Danio rerio: one gene and its partners. The protein of the gene in region 1 purifies or fractionates together with the protein of each later gene. This does not show direct contact. Links are inferred from orthologs where the notes say so. Each region holds a gene or a part of one and is shown on either strand. Other genes may lie near its edges.

Region 1 (8,310 bases):
ACTAGTGATGACCTGTGAAAGACTAGTGATGGACTAGTGAGGAACTGTGAAAGACTAGTGAGGACCTGTGAGAGACTAGTGATTACCTGTGAGAGACTAGTGATGACCTTTGAGAGACTAGTGATGTCTGTGAAAGACTAGTGATGTCTGTGAAAGACTAGTGATGACCTGTGAAAGACTAGTGATGGACTATGTGAAAGACTAGTGATGTCCTGTGAGAGACTAGTGATGACCTGTGAAAGACTAGTGATGACCTTTGAGAGACTAGTGATGACCTGTGAAAGACTAGTGATGGACTAGTGAGGAACTGTGAAAGACTAGTGAGGACCTGTGAGAGACTAGTGATGACCTGTGAGAGACTAGTGATGACCTTTGAAAGACTAGTGATGACCTGTGAGAGACTAGTGATGACCTTTGAAAGACTAGTGAGGACCTGTGAGAGACTAGTGATGTCTATGAAAGACTAGTGTGATGTTGTTTATCTACTACAAAATATAACTTTTATTTCCCATCTTTTTTTGCAACAATCATTGTTTTATGATCTTTTTGTTGAGAGGATTCTGTCTGAACAAACATCAGTGGACGTCACTCGTGCGTGTCTCTCCATCATTAGTGGGCTAACTGTGGCATCAGTGGTGGGCCAACTGTGCTTACCTAAGCTTAGCCAAATGGCATGAGGGGACCACCTTCAGCCCCCACTACAAACACTGGAATCCCCATGAACTTGAGGGGACATCATGCCCACAATGACATTCAACAGAAGCAGAATGTTTTCTGCTGATATTATAGACAGGGTGTGTATGTGAATGACAGCAGAGACACACAGGATGGTGTTTGTGGTTTTAGAGACAGGATGATGCGGGCAGTCTCAATTTGATGACATCACAAAGGAAAAGGCAGACTGACAGAAGCATTTATTTTTTTTCCTTCATTCTCAATGAAAACAACCTGTTTACCTCATTGGCTGTTTTTAACAATGCTGTGTACCATAAAGAACGACAAACTTGTAAATAAGCTCAAAGTGAGAACTTCACAATCTCTTGGAGACAGTTGAAGAATGGTGTCTTAAAAGCTTCATAACTCTACCTCTGTGATTGCAGCTTACAAGTACAGTACTTGTGTAAACCTGCAAAAGTGCAGTGAGATGATGGATACTGTACACAGCTTTTCCCAACAGTCAGTGTCTTGTTTGTTGATTTCTATTCTTTCTAAATTTAGAGTGCCTAACACCCACTCATTTAAGGGAAGCTGTTTGACAGAGTAGCATCAAAGCCTGCGTGGCACTAGGTGAAAAGGTGGGTGTATTGATGTCAGGCTCTACAGCTTAAGGGAAGTTTTTAATGATTGCACCTTTCCGCTCTGTAGGCAGCGGAAAATGATCCAAAACATGTTTATGTGTTAATGTAAAGCCGTGAGCCTGTAAACAGTGGAAAACTCGAAGAAATTTTGTTTGTGTGAGCTTACACATTTTCTCAGGATGTCCAATGCATTCCAACACAAACATAGTTATTTTTAAAATCAATGCAGATACATATGAGAAATATATTTTTGGTAGTGATTACATGATTTAAAGTTCAGGAAAATAACTGCATTCAGGACATTGCTGCAACACATCTTTTTTTCTGCTTTACCTGATAATTATTTTTTTCAGCCCAAACACAGAGAGATACCCACAAATCATCAGCTTATCAGACATTCCACAATCTCAAAAGCACAGATCCAGAATCTACAATTGGTGAAAACAAGCTAGAACAGAGGAGTAAGTGCAACCAAAGGAGTTATATTGGTGCCGTGACCCGGATGGGAGTGATTGTTACAGAGGCCATCTATTAAGACCTGCAGAGTTACGCCTCACTCAAAAACCATAAAATACACAAGACATGTCACTCATATAGTTCTGAATGGGGAAAAGTGTAACTGTCAATATGGCGAATGAAGCCCTGCCTACTGGAACAGGAGCCAATAACCGATCGCTATAGGACCAGACGTGTGCTTTTACGGCAATTTGGTGGTCAGCAAACACTGCAATCTCAGTGAATACTTGCTTCAAAGACATAAGAAATATATCCACATAGAGCTTGAAATCTGTACTTTTAAATGAACCAAGTGCACTTGAAAACGAAAGATTTTTCTGGTTTTGTAATCTATATGACAAACGCAAGGTAGAGTTTGTCCTGTCAAACGCACATCACATGACAGCAACTACTCAATACGCCACAAAATGAGGTTGAGTGTGCACGCGCATTAGGGCAACCTGAAAATATGCAGATCTTGTTTGATTCGGACGTTCAGAAACGTAACTTATGAAACAGTTGTTGTTTAATTTTATTGGTGATTCCAAACATGCAATGTAATCGTACACTTGGCAAACATTTTTGGTAGAATTTGATGTTTTTCCTTTCAGACAGAATGCCTGAGCAAACTGCCCGAGAGTTGTTTCAAAGATGGCCGCCAAGGGAAATGACTAGCTTTTAAGGGAATTTGCTTCACTCCACTGGCCTTTAAGAGGTGCTCTAGCAACTAATTCAAGAGATTGTGGTGTTTGCCTCCCATGCCAAAGACACCAACTCTAATCCCCTTCTGAGTAGACGGGTACAACCGCAGGGCTTAAACTGCTGCCATGATCCTAGTAGGATTGAGTGAAACAGAGATCAGCAAGAAAGATTTGTATCAGTAGGCCTCAGAGGCACACTAAGCAACTAATGCTAAAGTGGCCTTGCAAGTGCACCCTTTGTCCATGCAAGAGATGCTGGATGAGGTCTTCAGCGGCTGATTTATTCTGGTCTTTAGAATGCTTGATATTTTGACTGTCTCCCATGAATCTGACTCAAACATGCAATTGCGTAAGATGTTATCATCTAAGTCACTTCATCAGGGGTGTTCAATCCTGTTCCTGGAGATCTACCTTTCTGCAGAGTTAAGCTCCAACCCTGATCAAACACAACTCAACTAATTAATCAGCATCTGAATAGTACTTGATAATCGCAGGCAGGTGTATTTGATATGAGTTGCAACTGAAATTTGCAAGAAAGTAGATCTCCAGGAACAGGGTTGGACACCCCTGCTCTACATAATGGCAGAGCAACAAACAAGAAGCTTCAGGTAAGTGATTTCTATTGAAGAGGTTAAATACCTTTTTTGAAGACTTTGTGCTTTGTAACTTTACAGATTGTTTACTAGCACAAAAAGCCTATATAATAAAATAAAGGTTAAATAAAAAAATCATATTAACTCAGTGTCTAGCGTGTGTTCTAATCAGTTATTTCTTTAACTCCCAAACCACATGCCAGTGCTCTTTGAGTGAAGGCCACCTCCCAGCATTAAACACTTCCTCAAGGTGGCAGGGTGTGTTTCTTTCCATCTGACACCAGACAGGGTGTGTGCATGCATCAGTGGTCATAATAGACTTCAAGAGAAACGACTCTTTTGAAAAAAGAAGACAAGAGTCATTTCTGAACTCAACCGTATCATCCACAAAATGCAAAACTCTGCAAATTTCTATCCCTTTGACACGAACACAAAAACAGAATCCTGGCACATTTCTTGCACATTAATGTACATTAAAAACCCACTCAGTGTAAGCATACATGAATTTATTTTAGTTTAAACCAAAACTGTGATCATTAAGGTGAATGAAGAGGCAGTACAACTGGTCAAGTTAATTATTCTGAAAGGAAAAAGCTATTTTAGTGGCACTAAATTGGCTTTTAATGGTTTTTAAAATTGAAATGGTTTCTTAGTGTTACAATGCAAAAGAGTAATTGAAATGTTGGCGCTTTGTGAAGGTTTATCGCTTTACAGGCTGAAATGAGGCAGGCTTGAAGCAATTTAGCTGCAGCTTCATACTGCTCTTAAACTTATTCAGTAGCTCCTCCAAGAGTCTGAGAAAAGAGAAAGAGATACATGTAGAAAAGAGATATTAAAAAACACTCTGGTAAACACAAAATACTCAATTCTAAGTAATGTTCCAGGATAAAACCAAAATTGATTTGTGTAGACGTATGATCTGATTCTACTGATGCACTACTGGCTGGTTTAAAATCAAGCGTAATTTGTAATCTTCAGTTTTGGCTAAATGTAAAGATGTGTTGGCCCAGCCAACCTGACAGTTATCATTTTAACTTGCCCTTGCATTTTCACTACCCCTCCACAAATGTTATTATTTAAAAATAAACATAACCACTTGAAATTTTGAGGTCACGAGGATTGAGTTCAGAAAAAACACATTAAATTGATAGTAATAATGGTTATAATGTTTAAAAAAACGTCAAATGCTGTACTTGTAAACTCTCTTATTGATCAAAAGATACAGTAACATTTAATCAGAGAATTTCCAGAAAAAATAAGCAGCAAAACCATTTTCAACTTTTGATTTCTAGAGCACCAATCTGCATAATAAAGTCATTCCTAAATTATCACAATTAAATGGTTTTAATAATCATCATCCCCATTTCTAATAATCTCTAATAGCAGTTAGTATTAAATATTAAATAGTTTTGTGTTATCAGTGTCAAGGTTTCAGTCATGTTTGTAACTATACTGAAGTGTAACTTACTTTTTGTCAGCTCCACTCTGTAGCTGTGGAAGCGCTTCCAATGCCTGCTTAAAACTAGTGCTGAGACACAAATGAAAAGATCATGAGCATTAACATACTAACAGTTTTCACCTTTTCTGTTTAAATTTCTCATTGCAGTCGCATGTCTTACCAGCTCTCTGATGAGAGATAGGGCTCTATAGCATCTCGCAAAGCACAGATCTCCAGACGCGCCTCGAGAGAGTAATATAAAAAGGGTAATGTCAATTTTAGTATTTTCAGATCAAATGCTTATTGTGTATGTGAAGGATGCTACCATACCTGCAAGGCACCATTTTTACTAAAAGAAGACACACACTGCATGAGGCGACTCATTTCTTCTGCTACAGCCTCGATGATCTTTGAAAGAACACGAGAAACCAGCTCCTTGGAAACTGTGAAAACCTGGGCAAAAACAGAAGAATACAGAAAATCTATGTTGACCTATGCTACAAATAAATGAAGAATTAGTTACATAATAGAGTATTTTAAAATTAAAAATGTATTTTAATTTGTACTTCTGCAGCTTAGTGAGCAAAACTTTACTTTTTAAAAAAAAAATGTTGAACTGTGGTGTACATTTACAGTTGATTTATATGCTTTTTTTATGCCAAGTCTGATGAAATAATTTTCCAGAAAGCATAGTTTGCATATCCTTTAAATGCTGTAAACAGCTCTCTAGAGTTTTGAATAGAACATGTGCCTTTTTTCTGGAGTAAGGTCTAAAAAGTCATCTTTTACAGAAGGGTTTGTTCTCTCACCTCAGCATGAACAGAGATGATGCTGACCAAAGCCTCCTTCAAATAACTCCTCACGCCTGAGTCAGAAAGAGAGAAAAAAAAATGGGAAAAGGTTGATCAATGAGTTAATTCATTTAGGACATACAGAGAAGCTTCATGTTTGTGCATGTTTCATGTATATTAATTACTTAATTTCAATATTAATAAACTGATCTGGAGAAATGAAGACACTGGCTGATGAGTTCTAGGCTTAGTGGAAGTGTACCGTTCACCACTTACATAAAAAAGTCAATCCATCCATCCATCCACTTCATTATGTACACCTGTCCAACTGCTTGTTAAAACAAATTTCTTTAAACATGTCATGGTTGTTGGTGCTAGATGGGCTGGTCTAAGTATTTCAGAAACTGCAGATCTACTAGGATTTTCACGCACAACCATCTCTAGGGTTTACAGAGAATTGTCAGAAAAAGGGAAAAATATCCAGTGTGCAGCAGTTCTGTTGCCTCAAATGCCTTGTTGATGCCAGAGGTCAGAGGAGAATGGCCAGACTGGTTTGAGCTGATAGAAAGGCAACAGTAACTTAAATAACCTCTCGTCACTACCGAGGTATGCAGAAGAGCATCTCTAAATGCACAACGCGTCCAACCTTGAGGCAGGTGGGCTACAGCAGCAGAAGACCACACTAGGTGCCCCTCCTGTCAGTTAAGAACAGGAAACTTACATTTGCACAGGCTCACCAAAATTGGACAATAGAAGATTGGAAAAACGTTGCCTAACGAGTCTTGATTTCTGCTGCAGCATTAGATGGTAGGGTCATAATTTGGCATCAACAACATGAAAGCATGGATCCGTCCTGCCTTGTATCAACGGTTCAGGCTGGTGGTGTAATGGTGTAAGGATACTTTCTTGGGACACTTTGGACCCATTAGTACCAATTGAGCATTGTGTCACTGCCACAGCCTACCTGAGTATTGTTGCTGACCATGTCCGTCCCTTTATGACCACAGTTTACTCATCTTCTGATGGCTACTTCCAGCAGAATAATACGAAATGTCATAAAGCACGAATCATTTTACACTGGTTTCTTGTACATGACAAAACGTTCACTATACTCAAATGGCCTTCACAGTCACCAGATCTCAATCCAATAGAGCACCTTTGGGATGTGATGGAATTGGAGATTCATATCATAGATGTGCAGAAGGCAAAACTGCAGCAACTGCGTGGTGCTATCATGTCAAAATGGACCAAAATCTCTGAGGAATATATCAAGTACATTATTGAATCTATGCCACGAAGGATTAAGGCAGTTCTGAAGGCAAAAGGGGCTCCAACATGGTACTAGTAAGGTGTACTTAATAAAGTGGCCAGTGGGTCTGTCTGTCAGTCTGTCTATAATATTATTTTATTGCATACTTGCCAATTTTTTTATCATTTAACATTTTTAAAACAAGTGCGATGCTCAATATTTTTGTGGTAATACATCATTGTTCAGGGTATAACCTTGAAAAGAACTAAAATCATCTCAAATAGACATCATTTGTAGAATTATAAACATATTTACCATCTCTTGTTAAATACATCCATATTAAAAAACTCTGATGAACAGCGGTGACATTAGTTCATGCCAGTGCATTATATTTTTATATTTCGGAGATAAATATGTTTTTCAAACGGATCAGTGATCAGAACTAAACATGAGCAGTGGTGAAAGAAAAATGGTTGATTTTGCACAGATCACCAAGTTCTTCATATAACAACTCAGAAGCAGGAAACGCTCTTGCAATACCCAAATGATTTAGCAGCCAATAGAATTCAAGTCTGCACCACAAAAACTAAATATACACACAGGCACACAACCACGACTGAAACTCTGACACAAAAGCAATGACAACACACTGAAACTGCAGAATCAAGAACAGCTAACGTGTGGATGTTTCTCTATTAGTACCATCTTCAAGGTGGTGCACTTTTAACATTCAAATAGCAAATGTAAACTTCGAGAAACATCCACAGAGTGCTGTCAGCATCCAGAAAACACGATACCTGTAGGAAGCAGGCAGTCTTTCCAGTCAAAATAACCTGCGTAGATCCCGGTTTCCAGAGAGCCGACGATAGGATCAGACTTCTTCTCGATGTACATCTCAAACAGATCATAATCCAGCTGTCTCAGCGCATCTATGCTGACCTGAAGAACATGTTCAGATTAATCGCAAACCATTGCCCCTTTTCACAGATCATATAAAAAACTATTCTGTAACTGTGATCTGTATTTCAGCTTGTCTTGATTAAGAATCATAATTTTGACCTTCTGTTTAATTGTTCTGAAAATATCTTCTTTCTTTGAGATTTTAAAAAGCATAAGCACAAGTTTTATTTACCTTTTCCTACTGAATTTTTCCTACTGAATTTACTTTCCAACTGAATGAATGATGGTCACTAGAGTTTAGCAGTCTTCACTGCAGTCCTCTGCTCAAATTACAGTGATATACAGTCAGTATTTGTAACTTCACAAAGCCGTTGGTGCTTTTTGCAGATAGTTCATCTGTAATTAATGCCATAAATCCAAACATTAATCTTGACTATCCTCTAAATAAATTTGCTTATGCATCTATTTTTGTGCTACAATTATAAGTAAACTTGAATATAATTTGGAATTATTGGCATTACTATTAGAAACTGTATCAGCTTTTGCAGGAGGCTACTTAAAATTATACCAGTTTTCATAATATAGACCAGGGGGTGTCAAACCTGCCCTGCAGAGTTTAGTTCCAACCCTGCTCCAACACACTCACCTGTAGGTTTCAAACAAGCCTGAAGGATTTAATTAGTATGATCAGGTGTGTTTAATTAGGGCTGGAACTAAACTGTGCAGAGCTGCTGTCCTCCAGAAACTGAGCTTGACACCTGTGATGTAGACAAAGTATAATGTATGATCAATATAATAAATCTGGAAAACAGACGAGGTAAAATAAACCCTCCAAAGATTTAATG
Region 2 (8,310 bases), on another chromosome or scaffold:
AAAAGCGCCACCCTCCCCTTCACCTCCAGCCATCCCTTCTGCCAATATTTGTTCTCTTTAAGCTCTGTGGCATTCGGCTGGCCGTTGTGAGGGGTCTGTGTTGTGCTTGTCATTGGCACCCCAAATTCTTTCCCAGAGGGTTAGAAGTGCACATAGCTGGTGGATTTTACCTCCCGCCGTCCATCACAGACAAAGCAGCCCTGTTGATCAACAGAGATCCAAGGTCATCTGGTGTATCAGGATGTAATTGTACTTAAAGCTGCAACTTTTTTGCAGCAACAGCTTTTCTAGCATAAAGCTATAGTCGCACTGCACTTTTCACCTATAGACTTCCATTCGTACGCACACGAATGCGGCAGACCGGAAATGCGAGTTTGTGCATCAAGTCTGGTATGTCGCTGCATTCCAAAGTTCAAGCTTGTTGAACCATCGACCATTAGAAGATCAAAACATGAGGGCTCTGTAAATAAATGTAAAATATGGAGCAATCGGTTGCTTTGTCGAAGTCTAATCGTCTTGCCTCTTTTCACAACATAATCTTTATTTTGTATTTTCTATTGGATTCAGGTCAGGTGATTGGCTGGGCCATTCTATTCACTTTATTCTTCTCCGATGAGCGGGCGCTGCCATTTGAATCTTTTTGGCTTGAGACTTCCGGTCTCATTCACTTCCATTCATTTTTTGACGTTAAAAACTGCTCATGCAAACATTTGTTTGTAGAGCAAGTAATTTGACCGTTTTGCTGCTGTTTATTATTCGTAGTCATTTCCCCCATAGGCGACTGAATCTGAAGTTCTAAGACAATCGTGAAAACAGGCGCACTTCCGCATTTTAGAATAAGGTCAATAGCTTGATTTTCTTTTTCTGAAAGCATTTGAGAGATTCCTTGGCTGTTTTTTGGATCATTGTCTTACTGAAATGTCCATTCTTATTTGATCTTCGCCATCCTGGTATTGTGGATGTTGGACTGAAGCCGCTAATATTACTTTACGCTGATGAAGGACAGAGGTTTGCTGAAGAACTACTGAGAGATTTCAGCTGCTGTCTGGGCTTTCACTGCCTTTCTACACTTCCCTTTCTTTATGTGTTCAATATTTTGCTTTGTCATTTTATTACACATAACTTCATTTGTAAACTAATTAGATTTGTTTTCCTTTCATATATGGATTTCTTTGGTTGTTACCAACATCAGGTGAAAATTTCAAGTCAGCAGCATCTCTAGAAATGTTTTCTGAGGAAAATGGTGACGTGTTGATTACTGTTGCTTTTTAACATTATTTGCAATGTTTTAGGTGAATTGGATGTCATATATCAAGTAGTGTTTTATCTTAATAACTTTTTAAAATTATATCTTTTTTTTGTTTTTCAGCATTTGATTTGCTCTTATTTTAAGAGAGATTATTTTAGGTTAAAGATTATTTTCATCTTTAAACTACGTGATGGGATTTGTCGCTTTATTATTTTTGCTTTTTTTGCACAACCCATAAGGTTTTCATATTATGTTTAAAGTTATATTCTAATTATTTTCTAGTTTCAGGAAAATAATGTTACAAACACATACAGAGAATAAGCAATGCATGCAATAGAATGACAGTAATGGGGAAAAATATATAATAAAGGAGTTTAAAAAGTAACAAGCAATATAAAAATAAGAATAAAATATGCAAATGAACAATGTATGTACAGGTGTATTAAAATAGACAATATATATATATATATATGAATAAGAAATATCACATGTGTAGCAGTGCGATATGGCTTTATATCGGCACTGGTTGGAGGCGTGCCTTAGTGTCCCACCAGTGCTGATATACAGCTATATTGCACTGCTATCCGGTGATTTTGCATTTATACAACAGTTTGACGGCATTGTTGTGTATATAAAAAAGAAAATCAAACACAGAGAGTCCCAAAAACCTTTTTGTGCAAGGAACTACTTCCTTCCGCCATTCATTGACATCTGCAGCTGACGGCAGAACAGCCGAAATCATTACCATGAAATGACTCTGCTGTGTTGTAACTGTAATGTCTGGTCAACTATAATTCCAAGTACATTGCAGATCTCTGCGACTATGTTACTATTGCAGACTTCGATGCTGAAACGATATATTGCGCTAACCAAGAATGACTTCAAATGATTTTAATTAATATATTATTATTGATTTTATTATTGACATATTACAATACTTGTCCAAGATTTAAAATTCATTCACCTGTGTTTTCTATTTATGTATGCTTTCTTATTGCATTATGGGACCTTGATCTGTAAACTTTTTGATTATTTAAAATTAAACTCTACTGTTAACAAAGTGACTTTTATAACCACTTATAATAGTGTGAATTTATATTATATTAATATTACATTCATATACTAGTGTGTGTCATATAATAGAGTGCCTTATTGCCCCCCACCAGTTCCGAGCCATATATCGCACCGCAACGAGTATGATATTGCATTTATACAACAGTTCAAAGACATAATCGTGTAAATAAAATAGAAAATCAAATCTTTTGTATGAGGAACTACTGTCTTCTGCCATTCATTTACATCTGCAGCTGACGTCAGAACAGCAGAAGCTGTTGATCCTTCATAAACGTCACTTTAAAGCTAGTATTTGAATGATTCTCTAGTGTAATATCTAAAGGGATGACAAAACAGGTGGTTTTGCTCACATTTTAAGATTATAAGGCTGAACGGCAAAAAATGCCATCAGTCTAGAGACATTTCCCACTAGTTCTCTGTTGCAATTGAGAAATAATTAACCCCGACAAAGCCAGAGCAAAACAAAGACTACCAGAAACACCACCAGACTATAGTATAACTACAGCACTACAACATACAAGAGAGAGATTGACTTAGGATGTCACTTATCTGTTTAATAATGAATTGATCAGCTGTAGTTTCAAACTACGCTGAGTTTTTCTCCTCTTAGGGCTTATTATGCGGTCTCTGTCGCCATCTTCCGGCGGAACGTCAGCCGTCTTTGCTCTGCTCAGTATGACAGTCTGATAAATGCCGACGCTCTGTATCTCTGAAGTTATAAATATTTAAAATAGGCACTTTCCTTATAAATAAACTGCAATATAAACAATTACATTCTCACATAAAAGCCCTAAAACTACTTTATGTTGTCCAACAGCTGCAATGTCTGTCAAACTGTAATGAATATTGATCTGCTGTCACTCTATGTGGGCGGAGTAATACAGAAGGAGGCTGTACGAGTGCTGTTATTGTAGAATATGGCCTGACCATCAGCCAATCGGATTCGAGAGCCAGACACAATAGTTGCTTTATCTATAACACAGATCTTTCATATTTCCCTTTTCCGCCATTGCTGATTCTTTAGCCAATGCTGGCCCAAACATTTCCACAGACAGCAGGCCAAACGATGAAACCTCTTTTGCTTTGAACGGTATGAGGACTGAGGAGACCCACATGAGGCAGTCAGAACACTTATTAATTGATCCAACAGTCTTTTCTCCTCCTGTGCCTCTCTAATCAATGCAAACGACTGGAGATTTCACACTCCTCTCTAATGGTTTCTTTGTTATTTAAGCAAGCGATAATGAGCGACCTCTGCGCCTCTTCATGGAGCATTTTCCACCTGATCACTCCCCCTAATCAACACCTCATGCTGAGACACACGCTCTCCAACCGCAAAATCAACACCAGCCAGCGGTGTCCTGTAAACACTCACACCTTACAAGCAAGCTGGACAACAGTAGGGCTACGGCAGTGCTAATGAGTGCAGACAGCAGGCATACTATACTCAGTACACTCCATGACATAATTTACTTACCTTGACTCTAGGGCTGATTATAAGATTATGCATGGGCTGCTATAAGATTCTGACATTATAATAACTTTGGATAAAAATTTTACAGTTTCACAGTATTGAGATTACTGCTCTAAAGTACATTTTTTATTTTTATTTTAGTTTGAAATACCTTGAAAAAAATACTTAATGGAAACAGCAAGTATCCCATTTTTTTAATCCCATTTGATTACTTTGATTTTTGGATGGAAACCGCAATTTTTTCCTCCTGGTATATATATATATATATATATATATATATATATATATATATATATATATATATATATATATATTATCAGAAAATATATTTTTATTATTATTATTATTATTATTATTATAGTTTACATTTTTTTGTCTCACTACATGGAAATACTTCTTTATTTGCAAATGTTTTATTCGATATTGAAGTTTCGTGCGAAAGCTAATTTCCCCCTGGTTATATATTATCAGGAAGTGTCATTTTTATTATTGTTTTTTTTTTTGTATTGTATTGTTTTTTTGTTTTTTTTTTTGTTTTTGTTTTGTGGTCTCACCTGATGGAAACACTACTTTATTCGCAAATGTTTTTGTGATATTCTAGTTCTGTGCATAAGTATATTTTGCATTTTTGGATGGGAATAGCTATTTTCCCCCTGGTTATGTATATAAATTAATTATATTTTTAAAATTATTTGATTATTATTATTATTTTGTCTGGTTGGAAATGGTATCTTATTCGCAAATGTTTTATGTAAAATTTGTTTTATTTTTATTTTTTTAATTAATATTTAATTAATTTTTTTGTGTCTCACTGGATGGAAATGGTGCTTTATTTGCAAATGTTTTATGAGATGTTTAAGTTTTGTGCGAAAACTATTTTCCCCCTGGTTATATATTATCAGGAAGTGTCATTTTTATTATGGTTTTATTTATTTATTTTTGAAATTTTTCTTTTTTTTGTCTCACCTGATGGCAACACTACTTTATTCGCAAATGTTTTTGTGATATTCCAGTTCTTTGCATAAGTATATTTAGCATTTTTAGATGGGAACAGCTATTTTCCCCCTGGTTTTCCCCCTAGTTATGTATATAAATTATTTTTATTTTTTTATTATTTTATTATTATTAGTAATATTTTGTCTCACTGGATGGTAATGGTATCTTATCCGCAAATGTTTTATGTGAAATTTCAGTTTTATAATTTTTTAATTAATATTTAATTAATATTTTTGTGTCTCACTGGATGGAAATGGTGCTTTATTCAAAAAAAATTTATGTGATATTTTAGTTTTGTGCATAATCCTACTTTGCATTTTTGAATGCAAACATAGCTATTTTCCACCTGATTATATATGATCAGGAAGTGGCGATTTCATTTTTATTTATTTTTTATTTTTGTTTCACTGGATGGAAACACTACTTTATTCACAAACGTTTTATGTGATATTTCAGTTTTGTGCATAAGTCTACTTTGCATTTTTGGATGGAACCATAGCATTTTCCGCCCTGGTTATATATTACCATGACTTAAAAAAATCATAATAAGCTTTACGAAACTATGCCTTGACTGAACATATTTGTTTTTTTATTTTTGTTTCAGCTCAACCGAGATCGACGACATGCTCCGTAAATCCACCAACCTGCTGTTGACGAGGACCTTGAGCAGCTGCTTACAAAACCTCATCAAAAAACCACACATTGGATTAACAGAGGTAGTATTGATGCGAAGACTTGCCTCATTCTGCCTGTTGAAGCCCAGTTTGAAAATGACACACCTTTTTTTATGTTTGCAGCTTGTTCAAATCATCATCAACACCACCCACTTAGAGCACGCATGTAAATACCTGGAGGATTTTATCACGAACATCACCAATGTTTCCCCGGAAACGGTTCACACCACAAGACTTTACGGGCTTTCCACCTTCAAGGTAAAAAGTCATTCACAGACATGTTCTTTAATTACGGTCGTATTGCCGCAATTCTGCCATGGGCTCACTGTGATCAGAGGTCTGCCGTCTGGAGTGGTGTGTTGTATTCAGAGAAAACTGTCATCGACTCCAGGGACAGCAGCCGCCTCAGGCCTCATGAACTCCATCAAGAGCTTGTTTTGATTCCAGGGTGTTAAATGTGTCTAAACGGCGGTGTTTTCCGATGACCTACTTTTTTGAGTCATTAAACGCGCAGCAGCTTGTTCCTATTGCTTAAGTTTGATTATAAAGAGTTACATAAGAATTTTCACATTTCGTTGTTTTACATTGAATACATATATATACAGTTGAAGTCAGAATTATTAGCCCACCTGTTTAATTTTTTCCCTCAATTTCTGTTTCACGGAGAGTAGCTTTTTTCAACACATTTCTAAGCATAATAGTTTTAATAACTCATTTCTAATAACTGATTTCTTATATCTTTGCCATGATGACAGTAAATAATATTTTACTAGATATTTTTCAAGACACTTCTATACTGCTTAAAGTGACATTTGAAGGCTTAGCTGGGTTAATTACGTTAACTAGGCAGGTTAGGGTAATTAGCCTGTAATAAGTTATTGTATTACGATGTTTTTTTTCTGTAGACTAATTATTTTGACTTTAAAATGGCTTTTAAAAAATTGAAAACTAGCTGAAATAAATCAAATAAGACTTTCTCCAGATGTAAAAATATTATCAGGCATACTGTGAAAATTTCCTTGCTCTGTTAAACATCATTTGGGAAATATTTAAAAATGAAAAAAAAAATTCAAAGTGGGGCTAATAATTCTGACTTCAACTGTATGTATATATATATATGTGTGTGTGTGTGTGTGTGTGTGTGTGTGTGTGTGTGTGTGTGTGTGTGTGTACATGTTTTTGTGACATATCAGAACACAAATCTGTATAATGACATGGGTATGACACAGGTATTACAAAAAGGAGGTGAAATATGAGGACATTAGTGACGTCCTCATTTCTCAAAATGCTTATAAATTCTACAGAATGAGTTTAATCAGAGAGTAAAGCTGTCCACTGTCTCCTGTGATGGTTGGGTTTAGGGGTGGGGTGGGATGAGGGCAATATAATATACGGTTTGGACAGTATAAAATTAATAGAAACACATGTAATGTCCTCACTTTTCACAAAAACAAACATGTGTGTGTGTATACACAGTGTTGGGGATAACGCAAGTTCTGTAATAATATTACTTTTCTAAGAGTAAAAGTACATTTTGGATTAATTAATACGCTTTTAAAAATAATTTGCTGTATTAAAATTTGTGTAATCATGTTAAATCACACTCAATCAGAAAATGAGATCCCCACGAGAACAGACAGAAAACAAGATGGCAGAGCCTTACATTTCTGTGATGGAAATATTCTGGTCATTTTGAACACATGGAAGAAAAGGGGATTAAAGTCTCAATGGACAGTGATTTTACTGAACTAATAAGACAAAAATGCAAAAGTAGCAAACACATTGCTTTCAGTAACCTGACAAGTTATTTTATTAGTTTTTAATTTAGGTAAATGAAGGTGTAGGTTATACAGTGTGTCATTAAATGCAGCTCCTCAAGCAGGTATAAAAAAAATGTAACTCAAAAGTAGCATTTCCATAAACTTTCCATAAAAAGTAGATATATGTGTATATTTAGAGTTCAAGACAAGGTATTTTGATGGTCCATTTGTGTAGTAGTAGACTGTTTACTTAATTTCTGTTGATACTGACATTTAACTGACTATAAGAAACTTTGCGAGTACATGTCAACTTACACTAAACCAAGTTTAACCCTAACCCCAACCTAACAGTCTACTCATAATCTAATGAGAATTAGTTGGCATGTAGATACAATATAACCTAAATTCAAAAGCGGACCATCAAAATAAAGTGTGACCCGAGGCAAATTTATTAGTTCTTCTGTGAAAGTTTAAATCTTAACAAAGCAAGGAAATTTTGACAGTGTTTGCTGTTATAGTTATTTCCTTTAGTTTGGCTGGAATAAAAGCAGTTTTCAATGGAAAGTTGCGGGATGCTCTTGGTCTAATTCAATTCATTGATTTATGCTAAGCTAAGCTAACATAAAAGTGCTCCCGCCAGACCTGGGCTATGTCCGAAATCGCGTACTACTCAGTATGTACTACATTTGAATTAGAATTTTATTATTCGAACATTAGAAAAGTACCTCCTATACAGTATGAATGTGAGTAGTATGAATGGAACTTCATACTACATCCACCATTTTGTCTTGATCACTCGACGGAATTCTCTGGTGTGGCATCATATGATAGGGTAGCGTGCATCGGATGCACACTCCAGAATCTAGCCAGAAGTAGTAGGTCATCCAGGTACTTCTCGCATAATGATTTTCAAATTCTTTGAATTCGGACATACTACTCGGCTCGCATACTATTTTTAGCGTACTATGCTATTTCAGACATGGCACTAGAGAACAGCTGAATAGATTCAACCTTAACTCAACTTGTAAAATAAGGCGTTTTTTTTTTGGGTAGAGTCGAGTGTTCCTTTAAAGGCATGCTGGT
Region 3 (8,310 bases), on another chromosome or scaffold:
AACTCTTTCTGAAACACTTCTGCCTGTCTAATAGCAAATACAAGTGATTCCTTAAAGTTTAAAGTTTTCCTTAAAGTCAACGTGAAATCAAATTGACACTCTTTCCTTTAATTTCATCTAAATCTTTTCTGTAACAATGCTTATTCTTTCTGCTGATTTAATTAAGACCATTTAAACAACGCAGAATAACATTACCCAGTAATATTTCACCCCTACTGTATGCATTACGATCAAATCAGCACAGACAAATGAAGTAAATGCAGTCCTCTTGCTTGTCATGTTGACTCTGAGAACACAGGACTCTTGGACTCTTACCTCGGGGGTCTAAAGGAATATTGTAAGTGTCCCCCAGTACTACAGGACAGAAGCAAAGCAGAACAGAGAGAGAAAGAGAACAAGAGAAAGAGGCAAAGGGCAAGAAGTTAAAATAGTTTGGTTAGTGAAGAGCTCAACCACTTACAGCAGCCAGGATGAAAGAGAGCAAGATCATGCGACAGGCAGGCAGAGCTGAGTGGGTGGAGCTGAGGGGGAGGAGCTACATAATGACATGCAAATTATTTAAATGTTCAGTATGAGGATTTGTACTGGCTATATGATCATGAAGCAAAAGTGTTCAGCAGATTTAACCCAAGGCCCACGTGGAATTTGCACACACATTATAGTTTATTTATTTACTTGATGTGTGTAAATGTGTGTAAATATGTATTTATTTAGTTTTTATATTAATTTTAGCACAATTATTAACTAACTAACATGCAAATGTTTATATGATTTCTTTACAATACCATTTGTAAAGTAATATTTTCTGTATTTTAGTAAATGAGAGACTTGCTTTGTTGCCAAACACGTGGATCTAATTGAATTTGCATTGCAAACCCAAAAGTGATTCTTTTTTATTTCATGCTTCAGGATTTTAGCTAATATACTAACAAAATCATTCAATTAGCAGATTATTTTGCTTGTTTTAAGAAAAAACTCATTTACTTTTGACATATTAGTTCTTAAAACAAGACAATACTTTTTGCCCGTCTAGAAAATGCTTCTTAATTTAAGAATTTTTAGATATTTGGACAGAAACAAGACTATTATTATTAATATTATCAAATAAAACAAACACAATATAAAATAATTCTAACAAAAGTTCTAATAACAGACTAAAATATAGCAAATCATTTATATTATATTATTTCATTATTATAATACAACAGTACTGTATTAAGTTCTATTATATTAATGTACATTTTAAAATAATCGATTAATAAAAAATAGAACAAGAAGTATTAATCGAGTGTTACGACTGAAGTTTATTTATTTATTATTGCGAATTGCATGTCTTTTTTTTTTGTCCCGCCTTCGTGTTGTTTTTCTGTTATCCTATAGGCTCCTCTACCGGTGTGATCCCGTGTTCTGATTGGCTGCTGGTCTCGGAGGCCTGTATAAAAAGGAGCCTCCGGCAGGGTTAGGGGAACTCATTTGTGCTGCGTTCGGTGCTGGGAGTGGAGCTCTTGGATTTCCCTTAGCCCTCCGGCCAACGACCAACAATCAATTTTGTACCATTATTCATACGTTTACCTAATTTGGAGAGTTTGAGCGTGTAGGGGTGGCCTGCCTATTTATTTGATTACTTTTGACTTTGTTTATGTTTAGGGAGAAAGGTAAGCTTCCTGTATTTAAAAAAATATATATAATTAGGTAATGTAGTGCATTTACTTTATACATTCTGTTGTTTGTTATTTTGGCCTGTGGCCACCCTGAAGAGATGCTCATATATATTTACTAAATTTTTCTATAATAAATATATTTATATACTCTCAACTGAGTGTCTGAGTTTGGTTGTCGACCGAAGGAAATCTTTTGCATTAAGTTTTTGTTTTGATTGGGAAATCCACCACCCAAACACATTTGTTTTCTTCGTTTATTATGCCCATGTTGTTTTCCCCTAGACTTGGGGCGTAATACGAGTAAAAGTAGACCGCAATTTCTGATTTCAGTCAAATGCTATTTGGTATTTATTTTAATGTTCACAGTATAGTGTAATGAACAAAGTATTAAGCAAGAATATAAAGAAATGTGCGTCCTCTATTTTTCTTTGAGCAGTTTATTGCCAATTAGAGACTAAACTGTTATTATATGCAGGATGGAAAGTGAAGGTCGAGGGGAAAATAGCTGAATATGATTTTTATAACATAATTCCAGAATATCACCTTGAGAAAAAAAATACAAAAAACAAAAGGAAAAAAGAAATGCAGACTGCAGGAAATGTGAAAAGATGACAAATAAGGAGACAGAAGGATGAGGACAGTAGCCTGTGTGTTATGAACATTAATGCAATAAGAACAGACATTTCAGCAGTCCAGTATACAGCTTAGATCTGGTCTTCAACTGTATAATGTGTCATTAATAAGCCAAGAATATTTGCAGCCGAAGTCAAAATTATTCACTCCTGTTATGTGATTTTGTTCTTTCTTTGTCAAATATTTCCCAAAGGATGTTGAACAGATTCAGGATTTTTTCACAGTATTTCCTATAATATTTTTTCTTCTGGAGAAAGTCTTATTTGTTTTATTTTGGCTAGAATAAAAGCAGTTTTTAATTTTTTAAAAACATTTTAAGGTCAATATTATTAGCCCCTTTACGCTATATTTGTTTTGGATGGTTTAGAGCAGGGGTGCTCAATCCTGTTCCTGGAGATCTACCTTCCTGTACAGTTTAGCTCCTACCCTGATCAAACCCACCTGAACCAATTAATTAGGACCCGAAATCCGCTTGATAATTATAGACAGGTGTGTTTGATAAGGGTTGCAACTGAAATCTGCAGGAAGGTAGATCTCCAGGAACAGGATTGGCCACCCCTCTCTGCTGAAAAATCTTGCTTAAACCAGCCTAGGCTGGTTGGCTGGTTTTAGCTGGTCGACCAGGCTGGTTTTAGAGGGATTTTGGCCATTACCAGGCTGGTTTCCAGCCATTTCCAGCCTGGTCTTAGTTGGTCAGGCTGGAAAATTACCAGCCAAATCCAGCTAAAACCAGCTTGGTTTAAGCTGGACATAGCTGGTTTTGGCTGGACTCCCAGCTTGGCTAGGCTGGTCAAGCTGGTTTGCCTGACCAGCTAAGACCAGGCTGGAAATGGCTGGAAACCAGCCTGGAAGTGGCCAAAACCCCTCTAAAACCAGCCTGGTCGACCAGCTAAAACCAGCCAACCAGACTAGGCTGGTTTAACCTAGATTTTTCAGCAGGGCTGGTTTAGAGAGTAAACCCCTGTTATACAATGACTTGGCTAATTACCCTAATTTTACCCTAATTAACCCAGTGAATCCTTTAAATGTCTCTTTAAGCTGTATAGAAGTGTCTTGAAGAATATCTAGTCTAATATTATTTACTGTCATCATGGCAAAGATCAAATAAATCAGTTATTAGAGATGAGTTATTAAAATTAGTATGATTAGAAATGTGTTTTAAAAATCTGCTTTTCGTTAAACAGAAATTGGGGACAAAACATACAGGAGGGCTAATAATTGTGACTTCAACTGTATGTAATGTCTGTTTTTCTGTAGTCTGTGTTTTACCCTGAGACGCCAGCATCGCTCCTGCTGTTTCCTGGAAATCCAGCAGCTGCTGCAGAAACAGGATTGCCTGACAAAATACATTAGGAGAAGACATTTATTTATAATAAAACACCACTTTGAGTACGTTTACTGCATGAAATGGACAATGAAGAGATCTTACATTGCTGGTCAGCTCATGCACAGTTCCATCTTTCGGCATGTTGTACTCTTTATCCGGATCATTCTGTCGGAGAGAAAAACATAATCAATATACAGTTAAAGTCAGAATTATTAGAACGCCTTTGAATTTTATTTTCTTTTTTAAATATTTCCCAAATGATGTTGAACAGAGCAAGGAAATGTTCACAGTATGTCTGATAATATTTTTTCTTCTAGAGAAAGTCTTATTTGTTTTATTTCAGCTAGAATAAAAGCAGTTTTTAATTTTTTAAACACCATTTTTAGGACAAAATTATTAGCCCCTTTAAACAAATTTTTTATCCAGTAGTCTACAGAATAAACCATCGTTATACAATAACTTGCCTAATTACTCTAACCTGCCTAGTTACCCTAATTACCCTAGTTAAGCCTTTAAGTGTCACTTTAAGCTGTATAGAAGTGTCTTGAAGAATATCTAGTCTAATATTATTTACTGTCATCATGACAAAGATAAAATAACTCAATTATTAGAAATGAGTTATTAAAATTATTATGATTAGAAATGTGTTGAAGAAATCATTTCTCTGTTAAACAGAAATTGGGGAAAAAATAAACAGGGAAGCTAATAATTCAGGGGGGCTTATAATTCTGACTTCAACTGTATATGGAATAATTATTGTCATTATGAAAGTATATAATTAGACTTATAAACCTATATAAAATTATAAATTAATATATGGGGGGGGGATGGGGGGGGGGTAGCAAGAAGGTCGCTGGTTTGAGCCTCGGCTGGGTCAGTTGGCATTTCTGTGTGGAGTTTGCATGTTCTCCCTGTGTGTGGTGTGGGTTTCCTCAGGGTGTTCCTGTTTTCCCCACAGTCCAGAAACATGCGCTATAGGTGAGTTGGGTAACCTAAATTCTCTGTAGTGTATGTGTGTGAATGATAGTGTATTGGTGTTTTACAGTGATGGGTTGCAGATGGAAGGCCATCCGCTGCATAAAACATATGCTGGATAAGTTGGCGGCCTCTGAATAATAAAGAGACTAAGCCGAAAAGCAAATGAACAAATTAATGAAAATTAAAATTTGATACTAAAGGTTGAAGATCAGAAGGGGGCAAGTGATATTTCATTTTAGGAAGGGGCCAAAACTGTTTAATTTAACAAAATGACTATATTTTGATCTTAATCTTGATTTTAATCTTTTATAATACATATTTTTACACACATGGATGAACAATATACTTGAATAGATAATATATATATTTTTAAATAATAAAAGAAAAATTAAATAATAAATTCTTAAATTATTATTACATTCATTCTATTGCATTAAATTTTTATTTAATTAAAATATTAAATAATAATAATTATTATTATTAATATTATTTTAAACATTATTAAATGTATCAACAACATAATAAATAGTATTATTAAAGAAAATAAATACAATATAACAAAATATTATTAATATGAATATAAATACTAATAACAGACTACTTAAATACAATTATTATATTATTTGTTGTATTATATTGATATGCACTATTAAATTATTAATAATAATGGTTTTAAATACACAATAATTAAGTATTATTCTTAATATTATTATTCTAATTATTATTAAAATGCATTATTTAAAATAATATGATAAATAGTATTATTAAAGAAAACAAATACAACATATTAATAATAATATATTTACTAATAAGAGACTATCAAAATACATTAACTATATTATTTGTTGTATTATATTAATATGCATTTTTTAAATAAGTAAAATAAAATAATAAACAATAATTAATTAACAAAAAACAATAATTGTTATAAATACACAATAATGAAGAATTATTTTAAATATTATTATTCAGAATATTATTAAAATACATGAGTAATAATTTTATAATAAATAAAAATGTTGGAGAAAGTAAATACAAAATAACAATAATAACATTAATATAAGCACTAACAACAAACTACTTAGACAAAAATTATATTATTTATTGTATTATATTAATATACATTTTAAAATAAGTAAAAATAACTGTTTTAAATAATTAATAATGAAGAATTAAATGATTAATAATAATAATACATATTATTGTTTTTAATAATTTAAACAAAATAAAACATTTTGAATATTTATTTAACTACAAATGATTAATTAAAGATTCACAAATATAAATATTTTACTAACAAACAACATAAATACAATTAAATATAAAAATATAGATGTAAAATGAACCTTAATGCTGTCAGCAAACTCTTCCAGTGCTTTCGCTCCAATAGTCTCCATAGAGGTGATGAGCGCCGGCAGCTTGTTTTTGGTGCTCGCCGCTGTTCCCTGCAGTGTGGCATCGAAGTCTGGTTTGGTCTGTTTGAGATGCCGTAAGATGGGGAAGATGGTCAGAACGGCGGAGTAATCGTGTCTCATGATGGCTCGACGCGCAGCAGACACGATATTATCACCTTCCAGCATTAAATTATCCAGCGCTTCCTGCAAACACACAACGCTGGGAGTCAACACACATGCAGGTCCACTCACGAATGGTCACATTTAAGCACTTTTTAAGCACTTTCTGGGTGTAATTACACATTTTTTTACATTTAAAATTATACATTTAAATAATATGTAAGCAAATTAGATATTTGCATACATATACATGCTATGATATACCAGATGATTTTTGTTTTAGTATTCTGTAGCACAGTATGGTAATCTAAGGAAAAATGTCAACCACATATTTGCCCCAAGTGTATTAAATTACTGCAGGGTTTTTCAAAGTCTAAGACAGTGGGCCTCCCTTTTGACACAACTTATCCATTGGCGCCCCCCTCCTCCCAAACACGCACGCACGCATATATATATATAAAGACACAGACAGATGTCAGACTGTTAACTCACTTTTATCATCATTTGCATGAAAGTGCAATTATTTACAGAGTAATAACAAGCATTTTAATATAACGTTTTTAAAACTAGGATGATGGTTCAATATGAATAGAACAGTTCCAAGAACTGTCCGTCCCAGTCAAAACAGTGGAAGTTTAGCGGGTCTCATGCTGTCATTGCCAAAATATTTTGACAAACCACACATAAAGGTCGTGGTTCCTCAGCTGGTCCTGTCCACGTAAATCCTAAACTCAAATACTGATCATCATATCGTTGTCTTTTGGGTTTAAGCCCTGAACTTGAAGGCTTTTGTGGCGAGGGGGCGTGGCCGAGCGCCGTGGGAACGGAGTGAGGCCACCGCGTAAGTGGATCCACCTGCGGTGCGCACCTGCCTCAGATCCCACGGAAGGAGCTCTGGATCATAAAAGGAGGAACAAGGGCAGAGGAAGCCGAGAGAGGACCGGACCCAAACATATTTTACTTTTGCTTTCAGTTTGACGGCAGTCTCCGTGAGGATCTGCCGTCCGTTTGTTTTGGTTTAGATGGAGCTGCCGTCACTGTCACTTTAAAACTGCTTCGGTTCTCCGCCTCCTTCCCGGCGGCCAAAGGGCCGTGAACTTCATTACAGTTTTGAATCGGGGTGGGTCTCAGAAACCGACCCAATGTATTAGCAGGCATATAATAAACGTTTAAATATAATAAAAAATACATATAATAATTAAACTTAATAATTATATTTTTATTATATTATATTTTTTCCTGCGCCTCCCCTGACATGCTTTGGCGCCCCCCAGGGGAGGCGCGCCTCACACTTTGAAAACCCCTGAATTACTGTCATTGACTCTCCTAAATGTCATTAAAACTGACATTTCTCCCTATAAAGAAAATCAGGGGTAAAATAATAAGTCGAATAACAAGAGATATAAGACAGTATATGGAAAAGGCCATACTGTGAGCCTCAGACACTGTTGTTTTCTCATTCTTGTGTAAATTGCATGAGTGTACAATCCCGATTGACAATCAAAACACAAGGCAGACTGCTGCGTGACTCACGGGCCACGCCTGCATCATCTGCATGTACTTTAAGTCATGTTCAAACGTCATCAGGAGATCACTAGCCAAAACACAGACTGATATGTTGGGATCATTAATACACGTTTGATAAGCCACAACATTTCCTAGTGAGACAACAATGATCTCTTTCCTCCCTTAGTTCTTTGTAGGTTTATTTTCAACTTACTATGTATGTGGGACTTTTATTTTGAAAATGAGAGATGCAGATTGTTTACTATGTGTTATTAAATAATGACAGACACGTTCAAACTCACGTCAGGACAAATGCAGGATTTATAGATTATAAATGTATACCCCACCCCCTCACAACCCCCCTGCATTTTTTCCATACCTTGAGAGAATACTAGGTTCAAATTCAAGGGTTATTAGCACTCACACAGCCCTGACCTGAATGAGCGAGTCGAAGGTTTTCTTCTGGTGGTGTTCAGGAATGATCTCGGTCAGTAAAGCGTATTCACTCTGAGCCAGCTTCACAAACGCACTGATGCAGTGGATGTAGGAGTCGATCTCGATGTCCAGCACATCATCTTTCCCTGAGATACACACACACACACACACGAATGTTAAAAAAATTACCAAGTGCTATAAAATGGAAAGAAGAAAAGGCTTTTAAATCATGATGACAGTGACATAATATTCTACT

The links.
Region 2: the proteins of exoc2 (region 1) and exoc6 purify together in Homo sapiens (affinity purification with mass spectrometry; 5 studies listed by BioGRID and IntAct, counting the BioPlex papers as one, with this or other methods). This does not show direct contact. The link is inferred for Danio rerio from reciprocal best matches to the Homo sapiens genes EXOC2 and EXOC6.
Region 3: the proteins of exoc2 (region 1) and exoc7 fractionate together in Homo sapiens (co-fractionation; 4 studies listed by BioGRID, with this or other methods). This does not show direct contact. The link is inferred for Danio rerio from reciprocal best matches to the Homo sapiens genes EXOC2 and EXOC7.

Annotation. Positions count from the first base shown.
Region 1 is NC_133195.1:29,284,754-29,293,063, forward strand, and holds the end of exoc2 (exocyst complex component 2), read right to left. Parts: intron 7,505-8,310; coding exon 7,363-7,504; intron 5,391-7,362; coding exon 5,335-5,390; intron 4,979-5,334; coding exon 4,856-4,978; intron 4,769-4,855; coding exon 4,707-4,768; intron 4,616-4,706; coding exon 4,556-4,615; intron 3,882-4,555; coding exon 3,788-3,881; 3' UTR 3,579-3,787; downstream 1-3,578. UniProt on the Homo sapiens protein: Component of the exocyst complex involved in the docking of exocytic vesicles with fusion sites on the plasma membrane.
Region 2 is NC_133187.1:9,564,062-9,572,371, reverse strand, and holds part of exoc6 (exocyst complex component 6), read left to right. Parts: intron 1-5,397; coding exon 5,398-5,509; intron 5,510-5,590; coding exon 5,591-5,725; intron 5,726-8,310. UniProt on the Homo sapiens protein: Component of the exocyst complex involved in the docking of exocytic vesicles with fusion sites on the plasma membrane.
Region 3 is NC_133187.1:48,881,891-48,890,200, reverse strand, and holds part of exoc7 (exocyst complex component 7), read right to left. Parts: intron 8,201-8,310; coding exon 8,055-8,200; intron 6,198-8,054; coding exon 5,946-6,197; intron 3,787-5,945; coding exon 3,724-3,786; intron 3,631-3,723; coding exon 3,564-3,630; intron 355-3,563; coding exon 316-354; intron 1-315. UniProt on the Homo sapiens protein: Component of the exocyst complex involved in the docking of exocytic vesicles with fusion sites on the plasma membrane.